Drosophila melanogaster: one gene and its partner. The protein of the gene in region 1 interacts with the protein of each later gene in a biochemical or structural test. Each region holds a gene or a part of one and is shown on either strand. Other genes may lie near its edges.

Region 1 (3,753 bases):
GGCAAATCAAGCGCTGCATACTGACGACCTTCCTGCAGCCACACAGGTTCTGGGCTAGGAGGACGTGGCGGCCGACCAACTCCATTTTGGTTAAAGCTGCACACGGAAAACTCTGATTCGCTCTCGTTGGCTACTTCTAGGCTCTCGTCGTCGCTGGGAGTAAGCAGCATATCATCCTCATTATCGGATTTATCTTCTTCGGAATCCCCAAAATCTGACCCGTAGTGATACTCCGACTCGTACCCTGAAAAGAGGAACAGTAGCTCTTAGAACCAATATGATTTCACCAACACCTAAGTGCATAAAACCTGACATACTGTCACTGCTATTGTGGACCCAATTTCTACTGAATTGTATTTAAGTAATTGTTATTAAACTCATGCCAACTAGACTGAAAGATTTTTTGTCGTAAGATTTCAAAAATAATCGTTGGTATTAGAGCAGATAGACCTATCGAAACTGACTCGCCCGGTAGTGGTTGTCACGAAAATATTAAATTTGATCTTTTATGAAGCGGAAGCTCTTTAACGCACAGGAAAACTCGTTTGAAGTATGAGTACCATTCAAAACGATCAAAGTTTTCTCCACTGCAATCAATATATGGCACATTATGTTCCCTATTAATCTTCGAACTAGTCAGAGCGAAACTGTAAGTCTTGACTCCCAAGTTAGAGTTTAGGTGCCCCTTTAACCCACCTTTCCTTCCAGAGTAGCTACTGGTGTTCGGTTGCACGGCGGATTTGCGGCCTCGTCCCCTCTTAGCGGCGCTCCCGCGACTGCGATTGGTGTGGTTGTTGTGGCTGCTCCTGCTGCCCTCGTCGCTCTGTGGAGAAATGCCCCTGGATGCCGACGGAGTGCTGGGCTGCGACTTTCCCTCGCTGAGATACTTCGGCTTCTTGAGAAGCTGGTAATTGAAGCGTCCTGATGCGCGTTCGTTGGGCGTCTTTGGCGGACGTCCACGTTTACGGCTGCCGCGACCGCTCATCTTGTTTGTTTTCGCCTTGCGTATTTATCTGGCTGTGTGCAGGGGTGCGTGGGGGTACTCTCCTCAGATATTGTTCCAAGTTAATGCTGCGAGGCTGCACATTAGATCTGAAACGAAAATTAACCCATTAGTACACGGTGCCACAGGAACGCACACCGCATCTCACTCGCACTCAGCTAGCTATGTATTTACGGGGCACATTCAAACACACATTTACTCAACAGCGTATGTGGGGGAAAAATCGATCAGATCGTCAAAAGTTTGTCGTTGGGTGTTCACTTTCTTTGTATTGCGCAAATTTGGAGTTGAAAAAAACCCGCCAAAAGAGCTTGTTTAGTTCAGAATAACGGTTCCGATTAAATACATTAAGTACATGTATTCAAAACACATTCTTGGCTTCTAGTGTTGGACGGCAAACGCACTGGACAGCACCACCAAGTTCGATTGTATGTGTGCGAGTGCGATGAAATGAAGCCAACGCACATTGTCCGCCATTTAAGCAACCGTGAAAATTTTTGCGTCTGTTTAAATGTCACTCTTCTTTCACAATTAACACATGGATTAACTGCGCAAATTACCCAGCATGTTGCGGAATAATTGCACAGGATTTAACACGATATATTCTAATATTTTTAACTATCTTCAGCACACTGCGAAAGAGACTTTTACCTAACATTACAGTTTTGAACATAGCTAAAGACGGTGTACAGTCGGCCAATCACAGCGACTCTTCTATTGCGTGAAGTCAGAAGCGTCCTCTTGCGGTCGGCTTGGAGAACTAATTCTTTATGGTTGCACAAACGATATAGGCAGGGTTGCTTTTGGCATTTACGCTGAACCGCACTGACAGATGTATTTTTATTTTTATCGACGTGTTGAGCGGGCGTTTAAAGAAAACCCGTTAACTTGTAATCAAAATAAACTTACCTTTGCTCACTATCTTAAAAATTAAAACGGTATTTTTGATGCGGTAAAAAAAATGTATTTTTTTGTAAATTTATTTTAGTGTATTACATTCTACCCAATTTCGCATTTTAAATCCTGGTGATCTCATTTCGTAAATTGCCGACCACGAAAAATCCATTAAAAATGTTATCGATAATAAGTTGCCGTTACGATTTTTTGTTTACTGGGAAAGGTTTTTATATTATTATTACTTAAATTTTTTAAAAAATTATTCTAAAAATACTAAATTAAAGTATTTTAATTGTGTTTGTTGAGAAATGTGTTATTGTTAAAGAAATTAGGGTAAACAATTTGCTTTGAAGCCCTGAAAACATCGTTATCTTATCGCCTGCACAAAGTGATTCCATTGCAGAATTAAAACTTCTTTTTCGCTAGTATTACTTTATTAATCAAGCTCAGTGGTTGCATTTTAAATAGCAAGCATAAATTATTTGACATGTACGTAAACAATAATTGCCATAAATAGTTTATTTTTAAAAATACAATAATTGAATAAAATATGATCTAATCAAATAATCAGTGCGCAAAAATTGACATTTAACGCGGTTTTGTATAAGTTGATGAGTGTAATTTTCCGAGTATTGATCAATTCTAAGGAATGTGCTACCACATTCGTCTGACGTCATGTGTTATATTATGATAACGCACTCTACTGGTATCTTACACAGATAAGATAGCCCATATCTTACCAGTTCCCACACCACCTAACTAATGTCAAAATTTGGTTTGTTTACATACTTTCTGTGTAAACGAACTCGGCAATTTTGTTTTATTCATTTTATGCTATATATTTTTTGTAGATTGGTTGAAAAGGCAATATGAATCTAGGCCACTGGAATTTTCTCCTAGCTCTAATCAGTTTACAAACGTTTTTTAACGCCTCCGCACAGATAAGCACTGTAAATAACAGTTCGAAGGGATCAAACAACTCAAAGTAAGAAATACTCAAAATATTTGTTTTCGAAAAATACTAATTTTGGAATCTTTGCATTTTCTATAATATATTTTGCTTTGCTTAGTATTTTCCATGAAGACACATTCAATAGCACTTCGATTGACGTTCTGGACGCCTCAATACATTCAACACTGGTTGTACCTCAAACATATTCGACAGAAGCTGCAACAATATCAGGTGCTAGGTTCGCAACCTCTGTTCCTGTTCAAAGTCCTGTAGACAACCCGTTAGATCCGGCGGACTGTTCTCAACGGGAAAAGTACAGAAAGCAACCAGTTGCAACACCATCGTCTCGTTTAAGAAAATGCTGCCCACATGGAGAAAACTTAAATATATATCGGGAAAATCAAAGCGATTCGATGTGCGACAACGGGCTCTTAAGCTTCGAACCGACTATAATAAGTGCAGTTCTGTTCGATAACTGCATTGAAGATTTGGAGGTTGAGACTACGCTCGACTACGACATTGGAAATCCGTGCAACAGGTATGAAAGCGAATGTTAAATTGAATCAAAGTACAAATTCTTCTGCAAAATTAGTTCTCTTTTGTACGACGACAAAGACGATGTTTTCTTTGTTCTGCAAGACGGTTCGTTATTAATCATCGACAAATTTGGCAACGAATCATACACTGTGAAGGAACATTATTGCTTGGATATTGATAAGTCAGGACACTTGTTTGCCTTTACATGTGTAACCCAAGTGGAAGAACAAATTGCCTTCGCAAAAGTAAGTCAATGTAACATTATTTTCTATTTACCAACGGATGAATATTATTTCAGGTCGTTTTTGTTGCCGTTCTTATGCTTATATCTATGCCCTGCCTGCTATTAGTTAGTTATTTGCAC
Region 2 (3,753 bases), on another chromosome or scaffold:
GCATAAGGATGTTCTGCAGTCGCATCTTCTCCACTTTGCCAGCACCGTTCACTACATCAATGTCCTTAAGCAGCACCTTGGTGTACCAGTCGCGTTGCATCTTGGATAGACCCACAAATATTTTCATCTCCTTCTTCGGCTTCAGACGCTTCTCCACTTCGGCCTTTAGACGACGGAGCAGGAAAGGTTTCAGCACGGCATGCAAACGCGTAATCAATGCATCGTCACCCAGGCAGGTGTTCGTGTTGAACCATTCGTCAAAATCCTCTGACGAATTAAACACATCGGGCAGCAGGAAATTAAGCAGGGCCCACAGCTCGTGGAGGTTATTCTGCAGCGGAGTACCCGTGATAAGTAGACGATTAGCGGTCTTAAACTCTCGCAGAATCTCCGACAGCTTCGACTTCTCGTTCTTGATACGATGCGCCTCGTCGATGACCAAATAGCGCCAGTTGAACTTCTTGAATACAGACTTCTCGCGGATACACATCTCATAGGAGGTCACGCAAACGTCCCACTCGCCAGGCATGAGCACATCTCTAATGAAGGTGTTACGGGTGTCCTGGTCACCAATAAGGCAGACGGCTCTGAGGGAAGGACACCACTTTTTAAACTCATTTACCCAATTCTGAAGCGTTGACTTTGGCACGATGACGATGTGTGGTCCAGCTTGATTTCTGCACGCAAATATGGTATTTAGAGATTTCTTTAAAACAATAGATGTTTATGAAAACTCACTTGAAATGCTTGAGGTAACCCAGCAGAGATATGGTCTGCAGGGTCTTTCCTAGACCCATTTCATCGGCCAGAATTCCATTGATACCATTTTCGTAAAGCGAAATCATCCAGTTAAGACCGCGAATCTGGTAGTCACGCATCTCTCCACTTTTGATGTAGGCGGGTGAGGCATCGAAGCGAAAGATCTCCTTGGTGGCCGAGTCTTCCGCCAGCAACTCCTCATCCTCCTCCTGCTCTGTCTTGCGATGACGATGACTGTTTAATACAAAAGTACACCAATAGATAAAGTAGTTGGCTTTTTTATAGGGGGAGTTTAACTCACTCGGCCACATCCTTTTCCTTGTCCTTGTCTTTGATCTTCTTGGGTCTACCCTTAGGCTTCGTGGGACTCTTAGCGCTGTTAGTCATGAAGTGGGTGAATATCTCCGTCTGCTTTAGCAGGAAATCAAAGCGCCTACTGCGATCAGCCTCGATTTTGTTGTCGAACTCAGCCTCCTTTTCACCGGATGAACTGGTGGCCGCATCTGAAGTCGTCTCGTTCTGGCAGAGTTCAGAATATATGTATAGAAGTCCTTAGACAAAGCCTGCTGTATATTAACTTACCGAGTTCTCTTCGGTTGCCTCCACGGCAGCTGTATCTGTTTTGGACATATTTGCAATGCCGGCGTCTGTCTCTAAATGAACTTAATTTTTCCACAAATTTCCCCTCGCCAATCAAGCGTGCTGCACACTGGTGTCGTTTAATGTGAACTGAAAATCGAGTGTGCAACCTGTTAGTTATACTTTCAGTATATAAATAAAAGGCAATTTACACAAAACAATGTTTGTTTCGCTTAAACAAATTGTAAATAATTACATGCGATTTTTTTTAATGAATGGTGGGAAATCTGCGCGTGCTATCGCTAGATTATGCGATGAATGCGCGAAGTTGGCTGCGGCAGCGACGGTGGCGGCAAACAAATCGAGAATACGAACTATCGATAGTTTTGATGGATTACTATGAATGGCAGCACTGGCCGTGTGCCGTTATTATTAGTTTTAGACAAAGCCGTTATTCTGATTAATCAAATAGGTTATCTTTTTAAATTGTTTGCGTTTGTTTAAAAATTATTGCCTAATGTTTAAGTTTGAGATGATGGAATATAGCAGGAATCGAAAAGTCTAATGGGGTCTCATAATATTTTAGAAATAAGCCCTGTGGTGGAAACTGAATCTAAATATGACAATATGTACTACATCGTTTTAGACTTGAATGGCTGCCCCAAACTATATGAACAAAGACAAAATCTGTTAAATTACTTAGACAACCCCCATATTAAAGTATTTAATAGATATATCGCAAGAAACCCCCCGAAAAAGAACATTTAAAATGGTGCTAGGTGTGGCCAAGGTCAGCGCAGATAGAAAAACTACCACCCGGCTTATGGAAAACCTGTTTTTGCCTGAAGCCCAATACGGTCACACAACCACTCCATCACCTCGTTTCGTTTGAAAAAAAAACCATCCAAAATGAGTAAATACGACTCAAAGTACCTCGAGGAGAAGCTCAAACGGGAACTGCAGACGGAGTACGTGAGTGTTACGGACGAATCAGACGGCTGTGGCGGCAAGTTCAGCGCCGTAATCGTATCGCCAGCCTTCAGCGGCAAGACCCTTCTCCAGAAGCATAGATTAGTTAACTCAACGCTTGCCGAAGAACTGAAAGAAATCCATGCATTCTCCCAGAAATCCTACACACCCGAAGAGTGGGAGAAAGTGAAAGCCCAATAGTAGTACCGAATAAAAAAAAACCAACAACACACATACATATACACGAGCGATACAACAACAGCAAACACTAGCCGCAAAAACCTGTTGTTCGTTTTGCTGATGGTTGCGCTTTCCGATCGAAGAGACGAACAAGCCGAAAAACGCCAGTCGCACAAAGAAAGTGAAAGGGAAAGCACAGGAATCGGCAGCCAGAAATAGGAGTTACCGAATAAACAACGCAAATGATCCACTAAATGCATAAGTTACATAAAGAAATACAGCCATAAAAGTTTAACTACTTGTCGCAGGTCGTCCACTCGAAAGGCATTAGCATTACAATTCGAAACAGCTGATAAACCGATAAAGCCATAGCCAAACGGAATACAGAACACACAATACACGGAGATCATCAAGAACAATGCTCAAGTTCCAGGTCCATTCTCCGGGCAAGGTCATACTCCATGGCGAACACGCCGTGGTCTATCATCGTCCCGCCCTCGCCGCCGTAGTGGGTTTGGGCACTACTCTGAGATTTCGGCAGCTGGAGGACAGCCAGGTGGCAAGTTTTCAACTGGAGGCCCTTAACTGCACACTGGAGATCCAGTTGCCGGAGTTCAATGGATTTTTGGCTGAATTTAGGAGTAAATACCCATCAGATAGCACGGCCAATCTGTTGGAAGCCGTCCGCGCAGAGGTGTCCAAACAACTTGAACGATCCGGAGGCAATGCACCGAAGCAGCACACCCAGCGGGCATTCATCTCCATATACTATTTGCTGGCCGGCGCTGTACTCTCCGCACCCGGCGACAAGAAACTGACGCTGCAAACCGGTTTCCAGGTGCAGGTAGACAGCCAGCTAACCGTGGGTGCGGGTTTGGGCAGTTCCGCCTCTTTCGGAGCAGCTTTGGCCACGACATTTCTCATTTTGGCCGGACACTTTGATAGAGACAGCTACTTGTCGGAGGCAAACCAGGCGTTGATCTCGTCCTGGGCTTATGAATCGGAGCGTGTTAATCATGGCACGCCCTCGGGTCTGGACAACACTGTATGCACCTACGGCGGAATGTTGCGGTATGTCAAGGGCCAGGGCTTCCAGTCGCTGAAGATCCAGAAACCACTAAACATCCTGCTGGTGGACAGTCGTGTGAGTCGCAGCACCGCCGACATTGTGGCCAAGGTTCGTCATCTGGGAGATGCCTTTCCGCAGCTCATCGAGGCCATTTGGCAGGCTTGCGAGGAGCTTGTTGCCGCCGCCGTTCCACTCTA

The links. The genes of interacting proteins can lie anywhere in the genome.
Region 2: the proteins of E(bx) (region 1) and Iswi form a complex in vitro, tested with the Drosophila melanogaster proteins (one study listed by BioGRID).

Annotation. Positions count from the first base shown.
Region 1 is NT_037436.4:245,232-248,984, forward strand, and holds the start of E(bx) (enhancer of bithorax), read right to left. Parts: upstream 1,682-3,753; 5' UTR 1,152-1,681; intron 1,093-1,151; 5' UTR 986-1,092; coding exon 697-985; intron 245-696; coding exon 1-244. Other genes in the region: mthl14 (methuselah-like 14), read left to right, coding at 2,770-2,885, 2,971-3,390, 3,445-3,634, 3,688-3,753. UniProt on the Drosophila melanogaster protein: Histone-binding component of NURF (nucleosome remodeling factor), a complex which catalyzes ATP-dependent nucleosome sliding and facilitates transcription of chromatin.
Region 2 is NT_033778.4:12,634,579-12,638,331, reverse strand, and holds the start of Iswi (imitation SWI), read right to left. Parts: upstream 1,662-3,753; 5' UTR 1,551-1,661; exon of another isoform or gene 1,489-1,550; 5' UTR 1,390-1,488; coding exon 1,342-1,389; intron 1,279-1,341; coding exon 1,061-1,278; intron 994-1,060; coding exon 739-993; intron 678-738; coding exon 1-677. Other genes in the region: CG33672 (uncharacterized protein), read left to right, coding at 2,248-2,508; Mvk (mevalonate kinase), read left to right, coding at 2,906-3,753.